2 separate regions of the Mus musculus genome follow, and region 1 is reported to be linked to region 2. The links are microRNA targets in miRTarBase. Many come from high-throughput screens and were not tested one by one. Region 2 holds a microRNA gene; the other region holds the end of a gene's coding sequence. Distances are from middle to middle.
Evidence for each region. The annotated mature microRNA mmu-miR-6920-5p reads ACACAAUGGAAAGACUGCUUGU and lies in region 2 at 2,577-2,598, shown strand. An mRNA with a match to its seed (bases 2 to 7 or 8) in the 3' UTR can be bound and repressed. Matches are read on the target gene's strand: a 7mer-m8 pairs with bases 2 to 8, a 7mer-A1 pairs with bases 2 to 7 and ends in A, and an 8mer does both.

Region 1: the mRNA of Mrc2 is a reported target of mmu-miR-6920-5p. The part of its 3' UTR that is shown has no 7-base or 8-base seed match.

What each region holds. Positions count from the first base shown.
Region 1 is chr11:105,348,271-105,358,379 of GRCm38, forward strand. It overlaps Mrc2 (mannose receptor, C type 2), which reads left to right. Exons shown (of 30, transcript NM_008626.3): 27 at 37-156; 28 at 328-507; 29 at 1,298-1,324; 30 at 1,429-2,875. The coding sequence ends at 1,655. Among named protein-coding and RNA genes, the nearest start is that of Mrc2, 61 kb to the left of the region's middle.
Region 2 is chr11:53,406,626-53,413,625 of GRCm38, forward strand. Mir6920 (microRNA 6920) reads left to right here and starts at 2,572; the gene lies at 2,572-2,642. Aff4 (AF4/FMR2 family, member 4) reads left to right here. Exons shown (of 21, transcript NM_033565.2): 14 at 1-50; 15 at 1,255-1,318; 16 at 1,432-1,568; 17 at 1,774-1,845; 18 at 2,643-2,736; 19 at 4,291-4,334; 20 at 5,211-5,431.

The DNA.
Region 1 (10,109 bases), 52 Mb from region 2:
TCTGCTTGTCCTGACATGGGCTTTCTTTGTGTCCAGCTGGTGGGACGGTTCTGTCCATTCTTGATGAGATGGAGAATGTGTTTGTCTGGGAGCACCTGCAGACAGCTGAAGCCCAAAGTCGAGGTGCCTGGTTGGGCATGAACTTCAACCCCAAAGGTGGGTGCTCTGTGTACGGGAAGGGAAGGGCTCAGGCTGCAAGAGGGATGCTTACCACTGTCTCCAGGCTTGTGAAAGTACAGCAGTGGATCGTGGTTATCGCCTCCCACCTAGAAACCCCCCTTCCACCTATTCCCATTCCCACACCTTCCCAATGGGTTCCTTCCACAGGAGGCACGCTGGTCTGGCAAGACAACACAGCTGTGAACTATTCTAACTGGGGGCCCCCTGGCCTGGGCCCTAGCATGCTAAGCCACAACAGCTGCTACTGGATCCAGAGCAGCAGCGGACTGTGGCGCCCCGGGGCTTGTACCAACATCACCATGGGAGTTGTCTGCAAGCTCCCTAGAGGTAAGCCAGGATCTCGGTCAACAGCTGGGCCCATAGCTGGACTCACAGCTGGATGTCCAGCTGGGTCTAGGGTTACTTGATATACAGGGGCATCTGCTTTGGCCGGAGGGCATCAAGTACATTAGTTTGCAGCAAGGACTGACGCAGGGCCTCAACTTTCCAAAGTACACATAAGCCCAGAGGACAGCAAGCCCCATCATTCTATAGTGGTTAGGGACAAGGGATGGTCAAGCCCTGGACACTCACGTATTGACTCTGAGGCCTGGGGATATAGTCCATTTGGTAAAGTCACGCAAGCACCAGGATCCGAGTTAAGATTCCCAGCACCCCAATAAAATCCCAACATTGAGTGCCATCACCTGTAACCCTAAGACAGAAAGGGAGACGTGTATTTGTGTTTTATAGGCCCCTGGAGCTCATTCACCAGCCATGAGCTGAATCCATACGTTGTAGGTTCAGTGGTAGACCCTGCCTCAAAACACCGAGGTAGAGAGGCATCAAGGAAGACACAGTGCAATAACCTTGACCTCTGACCTCTACGCACATGCACACTCACAAGTATCTGCTTATATTCACCTATAAGAACACATACATAGACACACACACACCTGTCCCATCAGCTTCCTCATATATAGAACGGAAATAGTAGAAGCCAGGTCCTAGAGTCCTGGGAGGTTCAGTGACTCTGCAAGGTGACATTCACAAAGCAGTTCACAGGCACTTATTTAAATTGTGACTATGATTTCTGTGAGGACTGATTGTGATTCTCTGGCTCTCTCCTCTCCTACAGTGGAAGAGAACAGCTTCTTGCCATCAGGTGAGTGGAGGGAATGAGCGAGCCCCGGCCTGGTTCTTTCGCTGGCTCCTCTGTCCCTGTGGTCATGACTGGGGCCTGATGTGAACTCCCCACCTCCATCTCAGCAGCCCTCCCCGAGAGCCCGGTTGCCCTGGTGGTGGTGCTGACAGCGGTGCTGCTCCTCCTGGCCTTGATGACGGCAGCCCTCATCCTCTACCGGCGCCGACAGAGTGCGGAGCGTGGGTCCTTCGAGGGGGCCCGCTACAGTCGCAGCAGCCACTCTGGCCCCGCAGAGGCCACCGAGAAGAACATTCTGGTGTCTGACATGGAAATGAACGAACAGCAAGAATAGAGCCAAGGGCGTGGTCGGGGTGGAGCCAAAGCGGGGGAGGCAGGGGCCCCAAGGGCGTGGTCGGGGTGGAGCCAGAGCGGGTAAGGCAGGGGCCCCAGGTCAGCAGGCCCCCATCACCCATCAGCCCAGTTGTCTTTGGATGGCAACCCTTGGGAGTTGCTACTGGGTGCCGGGGGCATAGCTTGCCATGGGGTGGGAGTACCCAGCCTACCATAGAGGCTAGGCTGAGACTTGGCAGTGGGTCATGTTCCCCTTTCCCTTGGGCCTGGGATCGTGTCACCTGGACCTGGACCCCATGGCAACTGGAGGCAATATGAGAAGGGACATGAGCTTATTCATGTCTTTTCCTCCCCAGATCCCTGAGCCTAAACCTGCTGACCTGCAGCCTAGGATTCTTTCCTATCTGTAGGCCTGGAAAGCCTGCCCCGTCCCTTGGGGTGGCTCTCTGTCACCTCTCCTACTCGGCTACATCAGCTCTGTCTCCTCACCCTGCCCTCGTGCCTTTTTTTCCACCCAGTGCCTCCTTCTGAGCCATGGCCCTGGGACTTGGGTGATCTCTCTCTCTCTCTCTCTCTCTCTCTCTCTCATTCTCTCTCTCTTTCTCTCTGGGTGGGGGTCAGCTGAAGAGGCTGGCCAAGCATCTGTCACTCCTGTGCCTGCTGGAATGGACCTAGGGTATGGCAGGAGGGAGCCTAGGTGGCTCAGGTGTACAAACCAGGGCACCGGTGTGGTGTCTGCTGGAGTAGAGATGGAACTTCGGAGAGACACCTTATCCACTCACAGGGTGTCATCTCCTGCTGGTCAGGGGAGGGCTCTGTCCTTGAAAGAGTCCCCTGTGGGGACCAAAATAAGTTCCCTAATGTCTCCGGCTTCTGGCTCTGGCTTGGAGAGAGGGAAGATGGTTTGGAGGGGGAGGGGCGCTGGTGAGGCTGTAACCTGGGACAGCACCAGGTGCTACCATCTGGTGTGGCCTAGGAGACCAACTCATGGAACCACTCAGCACCTTTTTCCAGAGGAGAGTCCCAGCCAGGATGGAGAGTGCCAGTCCCCGTGTCCCAGTGCAGGACGATGTGAACAAAAACTCAAAGCGGACCCTCTATTGTAGTTCTTGATTCTCGAAATGTGCTATTATTGTTTGTCTTTTTTTTTTTTTTTTTAAAGAAGGAAAAAGAGAAAAAGAATAGCAAACAAATAAAAACCTTCCAGAGGCTTGAGAAGTCAGCGTTTGTGCCTCCTTCTCTGCAGAGTCTGACCCCCGCAGCCCTGTAGGGACAGATGGCAGCTCTGTCCAGTTGTTTCTGTAGCCTGCCATTTTGCCTCTGAGCTTTTGGCTCTCCTCAGGAGACAAGTCGTCCCTGCCTACAAGCGTGTGAACTTGGGCACCTGAGCTCATTGTCCCATCAGCTTGAATAGGGCGTAGAGGATCTCCTAGGGTTGGGCTGTCGGAAAGATGCTTAAGGATGTGGTGAGTGTCCTTACCAAGTGCCTCTGAGTGCATGCAGTAAGCACTCCATAAATGCTAACTGCTACTCTTATTTCTAAAGTTTTTTTTTATTACATTGTGTGTGTGTGTGTGTGTGTGTGTGTGTGTGTGTGTGTGTGTGTGCGTGTGTGTGTGTAGGGTGAGCAATATGAATACCTGGACCAGAGTGGGAGCAGAGGGTCCCTAATGTCTCAGAGGACCGACAGGGTGACTGCAGGAGTGTGGCTGAGTGGGTGCAGGCCAGGACGCAGTGGCATGGTGGATACTGTAAGGAAGGCTGCCAGTGGGAATGGCTGATCTGATCTTTAACAAGTTCATTGTAACCGCGGTAAGGGACACAGACAATGGATGGGAGATGGGGGAGGGGAAGCAGAGGAAGCCCTTGCAATCATTAAGACCTCAGAAGATGGTGGCTGGTTTGGCCTGGAACACTAGCGGTGGTTTAGAGGCGTTGTGCGTTCTCAGGCTTACCCTGTCCAGGACTTTTAAAATCTTAGTTCTACTTGTTTTGGATAGGCAGTGTGGTCATGTGGTTCAGAGCCTAAAGGAGTGAAAAGAATACATAAAGACACCCATTGAATGTTCTCGCTCCTTCCCTTGCCCATCCACCCTGGACGCTCCTGCCATGATGGTTTTCCGAGTCTCTTTCCAATGTTTGATTCAGGCTGGGGGAAGCCACTAGGAAACATGGGATCTGGATTGCCCAGGGGGACAGCAGATCAGCTGCTTTCTGCCGGGATCAGATGTGCAGGATGAATGGGTGGGACCGCCCAAGACAGAAGAACTCTAGAGAGTCCGTGAGCTGCATTCCTGAGTGTGTGTGTGTGTGTGTGTGTGTGTGTGTGTGTGTGTGGGCTCCTCCAGCTGTCCCTACTCTGCAGCTCTCACAAGACCCATGGGAGATAGGTAGGCCAGGCATTCCGGAAGGGACGGAAGGGACCGTCAATCCAAAGTAAGGTCCTTAATGATTAACCCACTTTACCTTCAAGTGATTTGCTCTCCAAACAGAGGCCAGAGTAGCCCCTTTGTGAGTCGAGTGCTTTGCTACTAGCTGTGGCTCAAGGGTTGCTCTTCAGGCTGCTGGGAGCGGCTCTGAGGGCAGGGATGCCAGTGACCATTGCCCTGAGAGAGAAGGAAGCAGCGTGGTAAAAAGCAGTGTGAGCTCTATTGGGTCATTTGAGTAGTTGAAGGAATGAGGCTCCAAATGTCCAGTGCCACCCATCTATTTGAGAGAGAGACAGAGAGAGAGAGAGAGAGAGAGAGAGAGAGAGAGAGAGAGAGAGCATGTGCATGCCAGCAGCTGACTGGGTAAGCAAGCCTACTGACCCCAGCAGCCCCAGAAATCTACCTATCTGTACCCCCAAGAGTTACGAGCATAGGCAGCTGCTGCTCCTGGGTTTTATGTGGGTGCTGAGGATTCGAACCCAGGCCCTCACCCTTCCAGGGCAAGCATGAATTGACTCCCCAAACCTTGACAAGTTAATTTTTCCTTTTCTTTCTCTGGTGACTGGAGTCTTGCCAGAGGCCACATTCAATCCAAGTTTGTCCTACAGCCTCTTAGGCCTGGGGGCTCCCCAGAGAGTATGTTCTAAGCCTTCCTGCAGAAGAGTTAGGGAATGTTCCCGTAGTTCTCTGAGTGGTCAGGAAGAAGGCTCTGGACCTGGCCACTTGCCCTCTGGCTCCCAGCCAGTTCTAGTTTTAGAACATGTGACAAGGACTTCTATCTTCTGGTGGGGCTCAGTTCAGTTGACCACGAAGCATCTCTTCTGTGTGCCAGGTTCTCTGCGGAGCCTGCTGAGTGGCAGATGGCCTGAGACCTGTCCCAGGCCTGAGCGAAGGGCACTGTCTACCAGGCACGGAGCCCAGCTTTCCCTTGCAGGTCTGAACTGGCCCAGCTTCGAGCACCTGAATATTCAGTGACAGCTCAATGAATCCATGAATGAATGGGAAGACAGGGCAGCTCTCCAGAGAACAGCATTCCCCTATCTCCTATCAAAGCAGAGATGGCCTCCTCCCAGGTACCCTGGCAGAGCAGGCCTGGCCCAGTGGGCAGCTCTCTGAGGCCACAGGGGCAAGGAGCCAGCCAGCCTCACCACATGGCTATCCTGGAACAGAGCCGCCCAAACCTGGTCAAGCTGCCTGGACCAGTGGGGCAGGAGTCTCTGGCAGACCTGAGGTAAAGAACTAGCATCGTGAGGGAAGGCAGAAAGGAGACACTCAGGGAAGTCAGAAGAGGACAAATGAGGGATTGAAGAGGGTCCAGCATGAGAAGAAAGTGCCCAGATCTTCCCGCAGGCCTGACTTTCCTTAGGAGGGTGTTGCCAAGAGGCCTCAGGGAACTGCTGACTTCAGTCTTTGGCTCCCATCAGAATCAGCTCCATTGCATCAAAGGGGAGGGGCTGGCTTTAACCCTTCCTTGTCTGAAAAGCAAGTAGTTACAGACACTAGAAAGAGGTCTGAGCAACTGCCAGGCACCAAGGTTCAAGGCCATGTATTCAGAGAAGCCAAATACTGAATTTATCAGTTGGCTGGTGGCTTTTCTGGGGATCCCAGGCAGTGACACTTTTCTAGTTCCATCCATACTGTCTTACTTCCAGACACCCCTGAGGTCTGTGGGGTGTCTAGCTGTCCATAGGGGAGACACCTGGCCCTCTGTTACTGTGGGGTGTCCAGCTGTGTGTGTGCGTGTGTGTGTGCGTGTGTGTGTAGACACCTGGCCCTCTGTTACTGTAGGGTGTCCAGCTGTGCCAGGCAGGGGGAGACACCTGGCCCTCTGACACTGTAATTCCATCAGCTTCTGCAGATTTGCACTGTCCTCCTCCCTTGGAATTTGAGGAAAGTGCGAGGTGTCCTCCACGATAAGGACAACAAACTGTTATTAGACACAATCTCCCCTTGCTATTCCAGTGGGTTCATTCCACGATCTGCTGCTGCTCTCTATATGCACGGCTGTCCAAGTCCAAGCCCCTTGTATAAAATGCATTATATAAATAGTATCGTATATAGTCTCCATTCCCTCATATATGTTAAATAAATGCTCGAAAACCTGGTCCTCCCTGTTGGTCAGCCCTCTCCTACCACCTCAGTTTCCCTCTCCTGGACTCCACAAGCCATTAAAAACCTTGTTCTCTTCTCGCTTCCTTGGCTTTGTGCTACTGTTGTTAATGCTGTGAGTGTGGGTGTTTTGCCTGTGCATGTGTTTGTGGACCACACACAGGCTTAGTGTCTATGGAGGCCAGAAGTGGGAATTGGATATCGTAGAACTGGAGTTACAGGTGGTTGTGAGGCACTATGTGGGTGCTGGGAATTGAAACCTAGGTCTATTGGGTGAGCAGCCAGGGCTCTTGACTGCTGAGCCCTCTCTGCAGCCCTTCTTCCAGGGGCCTTTGTTGCAAGTGCTGGCTCTGAGACCCCTGAAATCCCTGCCTGGAGCTGATAGCGAATGCTATCTGTTCTCTTTGTCACAGAGCTCACGGGTTGGGTGCATGGCTTTGCTCAATAGACTTAACAGATACTATGAACTTCAGAGGGCTACTTGAGTCACACAACCTCCCAAAGGTAAGCTTCCTCCCAGGCAACACAGGGTTAATAACACAGGTTGATTGTGAGGGCTGCAGCCAGAGTCAAGGGCTCATTTATCCCCATGGTAAGTTCACAGGAAGTGCTCCCTAAGTGGGGCCCACAGGCTCACTTCACCTCCATGTGCGTCTCTCTCTATGGAAACCTCTGTCCAGGTGCCTCCTCCTCTTTATGGGCTCTCATCCTGGTGCATAATTAGCTGATGTGGTATGGCAGTTGTGATGCTGGCCATAGGTTTGGTTTGTGTCTGTGGTTTGGTGGTAGTTGCGCTTGCCTGGGTTCAATTCCCAACAGTGAGAAAGCTTGAGAAGATTCTGGGACCCACCCAGGGCTCTTCAATCTCGCTCTGATGGAGTCGCTGATTCACAGAGGGAAAGATGGCCCCGTACAACCTGCCTCTTTACAAACTTTTTACTGATTCTTTTTGAGTTTCACACCACGCACCCCAATCCCACTCATCTCCCCATCCCCTCATATCTGTGTTCCACCCCTGCAACCTCTGTCCCCAAATAAAAAGCAAAGACATCCCATTCTGGAGGCTGTAGTGTGTCACAGAGGTCATGAGCAGGAGAGCCAACCCCTGCCTTTTGATCAATGATGAAACATGACCCTTTGAATACCAAGAAGTCAAAAGCAGACCTGTGGGTTGCTGGAGCCAGAGGTAGACACGAATTCTCAGTGTCTCTCTCATGGCTGACTTCATTGGAAACAATCCTGGTTATCTGGGTAAATCCTTGAAATCATTTTATATAGAAAAGAACACAGTTTTCAATAAAAGTTTTTTTTAGGCCAGGCAGTGGTGGTGCATGCCTTTAATTCTAGCACTCAGGAGGTAGAGGCAGATCTCTGTGAGTTTGAGGTCAGCCTGGTCTATAGAGCAAGTTCCAGGATAGCCAGGGCTACTGATAGAGAAACCCTGTCTTGAAAAACAAAAAAGCAAAACAAATTTTTTTGATGTGTAATATGTGTATCAGCGTGTATGCCATTGGTTGTGTACCGCGTGCCTGAGTGTGAAACCCAGAAGTCTACACTGGGTGCCTTCCCCTGTTGCTCTCTGCCTTGTTTTTGTAGAATGGGTCTCTTACTGAACCTGGGCTGGCTGAACAAACAAAATTCGTGCTGAGATTACAGACAAGCATGGACAGGCTCAGCTTTTTGTGTGGGTGCCAGGGACCCACACTCAAGTCTTCATGCTTTCACAGTGGGCGCTTTACCCACTGAGCCATCTTCTAGCCCCTCAATGACTTACTGGTGAAAACCTTTGGGTTTCTCAGCCTTCCTAATGCTGAGACCCTTTAATACAGTTCCCCATGTTGTGATGACCCCCAAGCATAACATTATTTCATTGTTACTTCATAGCCGTTGCTACCGTTATGAATTGGAATATAAATATCTGATGTTCAGGATATCAGATATGTGACCCCCAAAGGGGTCGGAAACCATAGGTTGAGACCTGCTGGTCTGGGTGGAGCTGCCTGAACACGTCTTACAGAAGACTGGAGCTGGCAGGATGTTGACATAGCCACTTTGGCCTCCAGTCAGCTCTCGGTAAAACTTTATTTTCATTGGGAGCCGAGATCTTGCTGTGTTATCTAGCCTAGACTTCCTGTGCTCAAGGCTGGGAGTACAGAGAAGCAGGGGGGCTTGTGAAAGACCCTGGGGTTCATCCTCAGGCCAGAACAAAGCAAAATGTTACCTCCTGGGCGTAAAGAATCCTGTCTCCCATTCTGAAGCAGCAGAGACTGTGGGCTTTGAATAATCATCATTATATACATTTATATAATCATGACTTGCAGTGCTAGGGATACCAACCCAGGACCCTGGGCAAGCACTCTACTCACTGAGCTAGATCTTTAGTGCTATAGGACTTCGATCTAATTTTGTTTGAGATGGTCTCATGTAACCCAGGTTGGCTCCAAATTTGTTACATAGTAGAAGGTGGCCTTGAGTTAAAATTTTTTCCCCTCACTATTGTAGGGGTTGGGCATCCATGTATCACAGGCATGTGGAGGTCAGAGGGCAACTTTGTAGAGTCCAGTTCTCAATCTCCACCCTTAGGTTATGTAGTACGTACCTGTCACTGTGATAAAACCAAGGCCACAGAGGAGGACAGAGTTTGTTCCAAGTTACACTTTCATGTTCCAGTCCATCACTGAGGGAAGTCAAGGTAAGAACTCAAGGAACCTAGAGGCCAGAGCTGAAGCAGAGACCGTAGAAGAATTATGCTTACAGCTTTGTTCCCCACAGCTTCCTCAGTCCGAGTTAAGAAATCACCAGACCTACCTACCCAGGGGTGACAAGCTGAGACCTCGCCAGTCATCATTAATCAAGAAAACGCTCGGCCGGGCATGGTGGCGCACGCCTTTAATCCCAGCACTTGGGAGGCAGAGACAGGCGGATTTCTGAGTTCTGGTCTACAAAGTGAGCTCCAGGACAGCCAGAGCTATACAGAGAAACCCTGTCTGGAAAAACAAAACAAAACAAAACAAAACAAAACAAAACAAAACAAAACAAAACAAAACAAAACAAAAAAAACAAAGAAAATGCTCCACAGACATGCTCACAGGCCAAACAGGACAGGGGCAATTCCTTAGTGGAGGCTCCTTCTTCCCTTCTCTTGGAAGTAAATTAACCCGCACAGGTAGGCACTGTTAGCGTCTGTCTAAACTCCACCCCCACAGTTACCTGGCAACAGCCAGGTGTGCCTGACCCACTATAAAAGGGGCTGCTTGCCCCCTCCTCCCTCTCTTGTTCCTTTCTTGTTCTCTTGGGCTCTTGTTCTCTTGCTCTTCCCTTCCCCCTCTCTCCACATGCTTATGGCTGGCCTCCCTCCTCCTCCTCCTCCTCCTCTTTCTTCTTCTTCTTCTTCTTCTTCTTCTTCTTCTTCTTCTTCTTCTTCTTCTTCTTCTTCTTCTTCTTCTCTCTCTCTCTCTCTCTCTCTCTCTCTCTCTCTCTCTCTCTCTCTCTCTCTCTGCCTCTACTACCTTCTTAACTCCCCTCCCCATGCCCTGAATAAACTCTATTCTATACTATACCGTTGTGTGGCTGGCCCCTCAAGGAAGGGATACCTCGGCATGGGCCCGCTGAGACATCCCCTTCCCGCACACCTCACTAACCCTTCTTAAAACATATCCCTTTTTCTTCATCTTTTTTATAAACACATCAAGTACCAGGAATAGAACTTGTGTGGCAAACCCTTTATTCACTGAATTATTTTGTTGGCCCTCATCTTGAACTTCTGATCCTTTTGCTCCTACATCCCCAAATCTTGCTACCATACTCAATTTATACAACTTAGTTTTACAGTTTTGTGTTTATTAAATGTGATGGGTAGTCTGTCTGTATATCTGTGTACCAGATGCATGCCTGGTGCATGCAGAGTCCAGCAGAGA
Region 2 (7,000 bases):
ACTTCTGAGTCTTCGAAGCCTCGGAGAACAAAGCTTGCCTTTGATGACAGGTAAGATAAACTTTGTGGGTTTTGTTTTTTGTTTTGTTTTGTTTTTTTGAGACATGATTTTCTATGTAGTCTTGAGTGGCCTGGAGCCACTGTGTAGACCAGGCTGGCCTCAAACTCTTAGAGGTTGACTTGCTTTAGCCTCCCAGTGTCTGGATTAAAGGCATGTGCCACCATACCAGCTTTAAAGAGTAAATACACTTCCGTGCATTTTAGAAATTCTAGTCAGTGTATAATAAACTCACTTAAGTATGTCAGATCCTATATGATTAATACTTGTATCTGACCTACAGAATATTCAGATTTTTAACATGAAAGGCATCTTTAATCTTGCTACTCTTTTAACAACCAGTGACTCTCCAGAGTGACAGGAAAGATGTTCTTCCTAGAGCTAATCCTGCTGTGAGTACTACTGCTGAGAATAGTGGTCTCAGAGAAGCAATGTCACTTTCTCTTTCTTGCCTTCTGTCAGAAGGTACTTCTTCTATCTGCATAACATTTATTCATGGTTTTTAAAACAAAACAAAACAAAAAACTTGATTAAGCTAATGTTTAACACTAGGGAACGTGATCTGTGTACTTGAGTAGAAGATTTGCCATAGTAGCCCATAATTTATGTTCTTAATCTATACACATTTGTTGGGAAGTTGAAATGTTTATTAATAATTTATTATTGTTTTGTTTTTTTGTTTTTTGTTTTTGTTTGTTTGTTTGTTTTTCAAGACAGGATTTCTCTTTATAGCTCTGGCTGTCCTGGAGCTCACTTTGTAGACCAGGCTTGCCTCGAACTCAGAAATCCACCTGCCTCTGCCTCCCGAGTGCTGGAATTAAAGGCGTGAGCCACCACTCCTGGCAATAATTTATTATTGTTGTAAAATATTTAAAACTCATTCACCTCCTGAGAATGTGAAAGTTGTAAGATACTAGACACTAAAACAACTTTGTAATTTTCTTAGGAAATTTTGACCATTTTTATTTATAAAAATAAAAGCTGGGCTTGGTGGCGCACGCCTTTAATCCCAGCACTCGGGAGGCAGAGGTAGGTGGATTTCTGAATTCGAGGCCAGCCTGGTCTACAAAGTGAGTTCCAGGATAGCCAGGGCAATACAGAGAAACCCTGTCTCAAAAAAACCAAAATAAATAAATAATAAATAAATAAATAAATAAATAAATAAATAAAATTTATTTAAAAAATTGTTTTTTGCAGAAATTATTCAGCAGACCATTATTTACAAGAAGCAAAAAAACTCAAACACAATGCAGATGCTTTGGTATGTAAATATTCCTGATGTGCTTCATTAAACTTATATTCAGGTTTTGACATGTGTACCCTTCTGTTGTGTGTATTTGCAGTGGGTCATTAATCAGCACTGTTTTCCTTTAGTCTGACAGGTTTGAGAAAGCCGTGTACTACCTTGATGCTGTAGTGTCTTTCATTGAGTGTGGGAATGCATTAGAGAAGAACGCTCAGGAATCCAAGTCCCCATTCCCTATGTACTCAGACACGGTGGAGCTCATTAAGTAAGTGGGGACTATCTTTATCAGTTATTACTGTTACTTAGTTATTGACATACTGATATGGTAAACTGAGAAGATACTTAGTGTTCCATTTTTCTTAGGGACGATTTTAGTGGGTGTTTTATTTAGGGTTGATTCTGATATTTTTATAATATAAGTTCTAAGATCAAGGTGAAATATTCTGTTCTTTTTTTATCTCAACTCATAGGTACACTATGAAACTAAAGAATTATTTGGCACCAGATGCTACAGCTGCAGACAAGAGACTCACAGTACTTTGGTAAGTGTTTTGTCTTCTAGCCTTTGCTTGGGAAACAGGCAGTTTCTTGATGAATTGTGCTGTGTGTGCTTTTATGAGTATTACCCATGAATCAGTCTTCCACAACCTCTTCACAAACCTTAACAGTCAAACAGGAAATAGCTCAAACCCCTACTGAAAGGTTTTAGCTCCTGTCTCTAATCCAGTGCCCTCTTGATGAATGTGCTGGAGTAGGACCAATGCTGGACCCCTCCATTGAATTAAGTGACCAGTTTTTAAAGCTCTTTTTATACATGCCCCTTGTCTTAGTTAGGGTTTCCATTGCTGTGAAGAGACACCATGACCAAGACAACTTGTATAAAGGAAGACATTTAGTTGGGGCTGGCTTACACTTATAGAGGTACAGTTCATTATCATCATGGCAGGAAGCAAAGTGGCCTTTGCTGGGGTTGTGAGCAGGAATAACAATTGTGTGGACTGAACTGTGTGAGCTGGGTGAATGTTGCTGTATTCCATCTCACTCAATGTTCAGTTTCCAACTTTTAGTTTTTAACTTTTAAAAGATATTTGAATTATAGTATGTTGGTATAGTCTTAATTTTGAATGTCAGTAATAATGGGATATTAAGAGTTTCTTAGCTACTTTTCTTTCCCTATGGTGTGTTCTATATTAAGCTGACCTCTTGGTTTTGTTTGAGAGGTAACATTGACCCTGGGCCATGGTTGCTCAAATGAAGCCAGCCCTATATTCCTACACAATGGAAAGACTGCTTGTAGATGGCGCCATGTCTATATACACTGCCCTTTTCCATTGCCTAGCCTGAGATGCCAGTCATTATTGTACCTGAGGCTGTTCAAACTGAAGAAGGAGAACGCTCTCAAGTACTCCAAGACGCTAACTGAGCACCTGAAGGTCAGTATGTATAACACAGTCCATTGCTTATGAGACAAAATGTGGAAACCTTTCCCTCCCTGTCCCAGAGATACTCTCATATTTAGGCACAACATGCCAAGAGAGGAACAAACTACTGCTTAGAAGTTCTCAGATGTGTTTGTACTTTCTTGGGAAAGCCTTCAAGTACGGATATTGGATTACATTTTTATAGCCGTAAATGGTAGCCATATCTGTCCTAGAAAATAGTCTTTGTATTTTTCATACCACCTGTCTTCAAACTGTTACCTTGTTTTGTTTTGTCCCTTACACTACTAGTGATGGAACTCAGGGCATTCTAAGCAAGTGCCAACCACTGAAGTATACCCCAGACAGGAGACAGGATTATTGCAGTGCCCTACATACCTTCCTTTTTATTTCAAGCTAGTACCATATAATTCTCCTCAAATTCTGTTGTAGTTAGGACTTTAAACTCCTCCATAACTCATTGTTGCCTATAAGCTCAAGGTCTGGCCTATAAGGTCCTGAAGTGTTTCTTATTTCTTGTCTAAACCTCTCTTTATACAACCTACATGGGTTATGGGTATTTTCTTTTCTGTCTGGTTTTGTATATAATATGACTTGTTCCCATGTGTCTTTTTTTTTCTTCCTCCTCCTTTCATTTATCTCTGTTATTCATTGGGTTTTTTCCCCCCTTTTCCTTCCCCACCCTACTCCCACCCCCTCAGTTTTTCAAGACAGGGTTCTCTGTGTAAAAGCCCTGGCTATCCTGAACTCTCTTTGTAGACTGGGCTAGCCTCGAGCTCAGAGACCCACCTGCCTCTGTCTTCCAAGTGCTGGGATTAAGGATGTGCACCAAGCCCAGCTACTCGTCTTTGAAGTCTTCTAGAACAATCTAGCTTTTCACTTAGTAATTTCTTTCTGTTGTACATTCATACATCCTTTGCTGTTGTTTTTAAAGATTTATTGGCCTGCCGAAATGGCTTAGTGCTTAAGAGCACTGACTGCTGTTCCAAAAGACCCAGATTCAATTCCCAGTTTTCACATGGCCACTTACAACTCTGTGTGTTCCACAGGATCTGACATCCTCTGGCCTCTGATGGCATCAGGAATGCATGTGATACACAGATATACATGTAGGCAAAATACCTGTACATAAAAAAAATACTAAAACATATAAAGATCTCTCTCTCTCTCTCTCTCTCTCTCTCTCTGTGTGTGTGTGTGTGTGTGTGTGTGTGTGTGTGTGTGTGTGTGTTCGTGTTCGTGTTCTCAGAGGCCAGAGGAAGATCCAGATCTCTTGGAGTAGAGTGAGCTGCCCAGCTTGGGTGCTGGGATCTAAAGGCAGAACCTCTGGAAGAGCAACAGTTGCTCTTAACCACTGAGCCATCTCTACCGTCATGTTACTTTTCTGTGATAGTGTCTCATCTAGTCTAAGCTGACCTCAAACTCCCTATGGAGCCAGTTTTTTCAATAAAGTTCTCAAGATCAACCCTAGCCCAAACACTTTGGAAGATACTGAATGCCTTAAAAGTTATATATATTGCTGTTAAATATTTTTTTTTTCCCATGCAGAATTCTTACAGTAATTCTCAAGCACCTTCACCCGGCTTGGGGAGGTAGGTACAGTTTTGTTCTCTGATATATTTTTGATTAGCTTATTTGTGGATCAGAGTAGAAATGGACAGCAGAATGGTTGCTAATTTTAAAGTATTACAATCTCTAGTAAGGTGTTTTAAACTTTATTTTTTTGATGTTTGGAATTGAATCCAGGGCCTTTGGAGCGCTTTCCTACTACGTTTTGCCTCTAGAAAAGTACTTTCTTTTTAAATTATTCTTTCCAATTTAATAATTTTAAATATAAAGAATTTTAAGAGAGGTTAGAAATGAGATATGTCAACAGCTCAGACATCTGAGTTGGCTTTTGGTTTGGTTTTCTTTCTCTCTCCTCCCATATAAGTTCATAAATGTTCTTATGTTGTCAGGCTTGGTGGCAAGCACCCTTACCCCTGAGCCATCTCACTAGCCCCCCAGTTAAGTTTTTAACAGTACCTTGAGTCTTCTCAGGTTGATTTTCATGTCACTTAGGTTTGTTACAATGGTTTAAACTTCACTCAGACCTTTCATTGCTAGAATACAGTGGCTTGGTTTTGATATATCTTCCATTCCACATTAACCCCTTCTTGCCTACACCCGAAAGGGGAACAAACATCCTGCAAACTTAGATTTACTTTTTCATTTTCTCAGTTCATCTATGGAGTCTTTGTTTTAATGTGAGTTGACAGTCCATCTTATTTTCCCTTGTCTACATACCCAGGGCTGATGTAAAACCCAGAGCCTTTTGCATGGTAACAAGTGCTCTCTCACTGAGCTGTGTCCTTTTTAATTTGTTCTTTTGAGACAGGAGCCCAGGTGACTTCCATTCTACAGTATGCTAATTTCATAGTATTCACTATGTGTGTGTGAATAAGTATCCTGTTTCTCTTTGTGTGTAGCAAAGCTGTTGGGATGCCCTCCCCTGTTTCTCCAAAACTGTCACCAGGCAATTCTGGAAGTTACTCTTCTGGGGGAAGTAGTGCTTCAGCAAGTGGTTCTTCAGTGACCATTCCACAGAAAATCCACCAGATGGCAGCAAGCTATGTCCAGGTTACATCTAACTTCCTCTATGCCACAGAAATTTGGGACCAAGCTGAACAGCTTTCCAAAGAACAAAAAGGTTTGTTGGGCACTGGATAAACTTTGATAATAGAATAGTTAAAAGAAACATTTGTAATTTAGTTAAGTATGTGGAGACCACTTACTTTATTTTGTGGTTTAAAGACAATCATAATCAATTTGCTAATAACATTCTTTGCTTAGCTGCATACTAACTATGACTAGATGTGGTTAAAATTCCCTTGGGCTGTGCATGCCTCCCTGTTAGATTACTTTCACAGCATGCATAAGACCCTGGTTTGACCCCCTAACGTGAAGGATGGGGAACAGATGAACTGATGTGGGGGAAGGGACATAGACAAACGGCTTTTGTGGTAATGCTGACACAAACTAAACTAGAAGTAGTTCTTGGTATAAGACAGATACCTCTCTATTCTGGCATATTGGAAGTAGCTCACGGGGTAGTACCTTGTCTATGATCAACTTTCTGCTGTAGTCTCAAATACACCTTAAACAATATAGCAGTTGGATCTGCAAGATGACTCAGTAGGTAAAGATGCTTACCACAAAGCCTGAGTTCAAGCCTCAGGACCTACTTGGTGGAAGGTGAGAAGAAACTCCACAGTTTTCCTCTGACTCAACACAAGTACACTGTGACACATCCACAGACAGATAAATGTAAGAGAGAGAGAACCATTAAGAAAATAGATGAGTTGGATTTGTTTTATATAGTATTCAAGCAAGGTCTAAATGCTGCATTTTGTAAGTAGCTCTCCCCCTTATTTGGCCATGCCATTGATGTTTGAAGAAACTGAATCATAGACGATATCATTCTGCATATGACCATTTCTTCCTCATGCTGCCATTACACTTGTTATTTTATCTTTCTTAGTTCCTTTCTATTGATTAGATTCAAGTTTAGTATTAGATATAATACTCTAGGTGGTTCATCTTATTAAAATATACCTAGTTACCTAAGGTATTGTGTTAGGATTCTGTTGCTGTGAACAGACACCATGACTGCTGCAACTCTTACTAATGAAACCACTTGATTGGGGCTGGCTTACAGTTCAGAGGTTCAGCAATTTATCATGACAGGAAGCATGGTGGCACACAAGCAGACATGGTGTTGGAGAAGTCGCTGAGAGTGCTACATCTGGCTCTGTAGGCAACAGAAAGAAGCAGTGATGCCACTAGGCCTGACTTGACCTTCTGAGACCTCCAAGCCTGGCCATAGGAACAACTTCCTCCAACAAGGCCACACCTCCTAACTCACTCATTATAGGCTTATAGGACCCATTGTTTTTCAAACCACCACAGGTTTGAAATTAATACCCAATATTGATATTAAGATTTATCAGACCTAAGCCAGTTGGTGGTAGTACATGCCTTTAGTCCCAGAACTTGGGAGGCCAAAGGCAGGTGGGTCTCTGAGTTCAGGGCCATCCTGGTCTAAGAGCAAGTTCCAGGATAGCCAAGGCCATTACATTGAGAAACCCTATCTCAAAAAACCCAAATAAATAAGTATGTAAGTAAGTAAATAAATACATAGATAAATAATCATCAGACTGAGCAAGGTGAAGTAGGCCTATCGTCTCAGAAGCATTGCAAGTTGGAAACCAGTCTGATG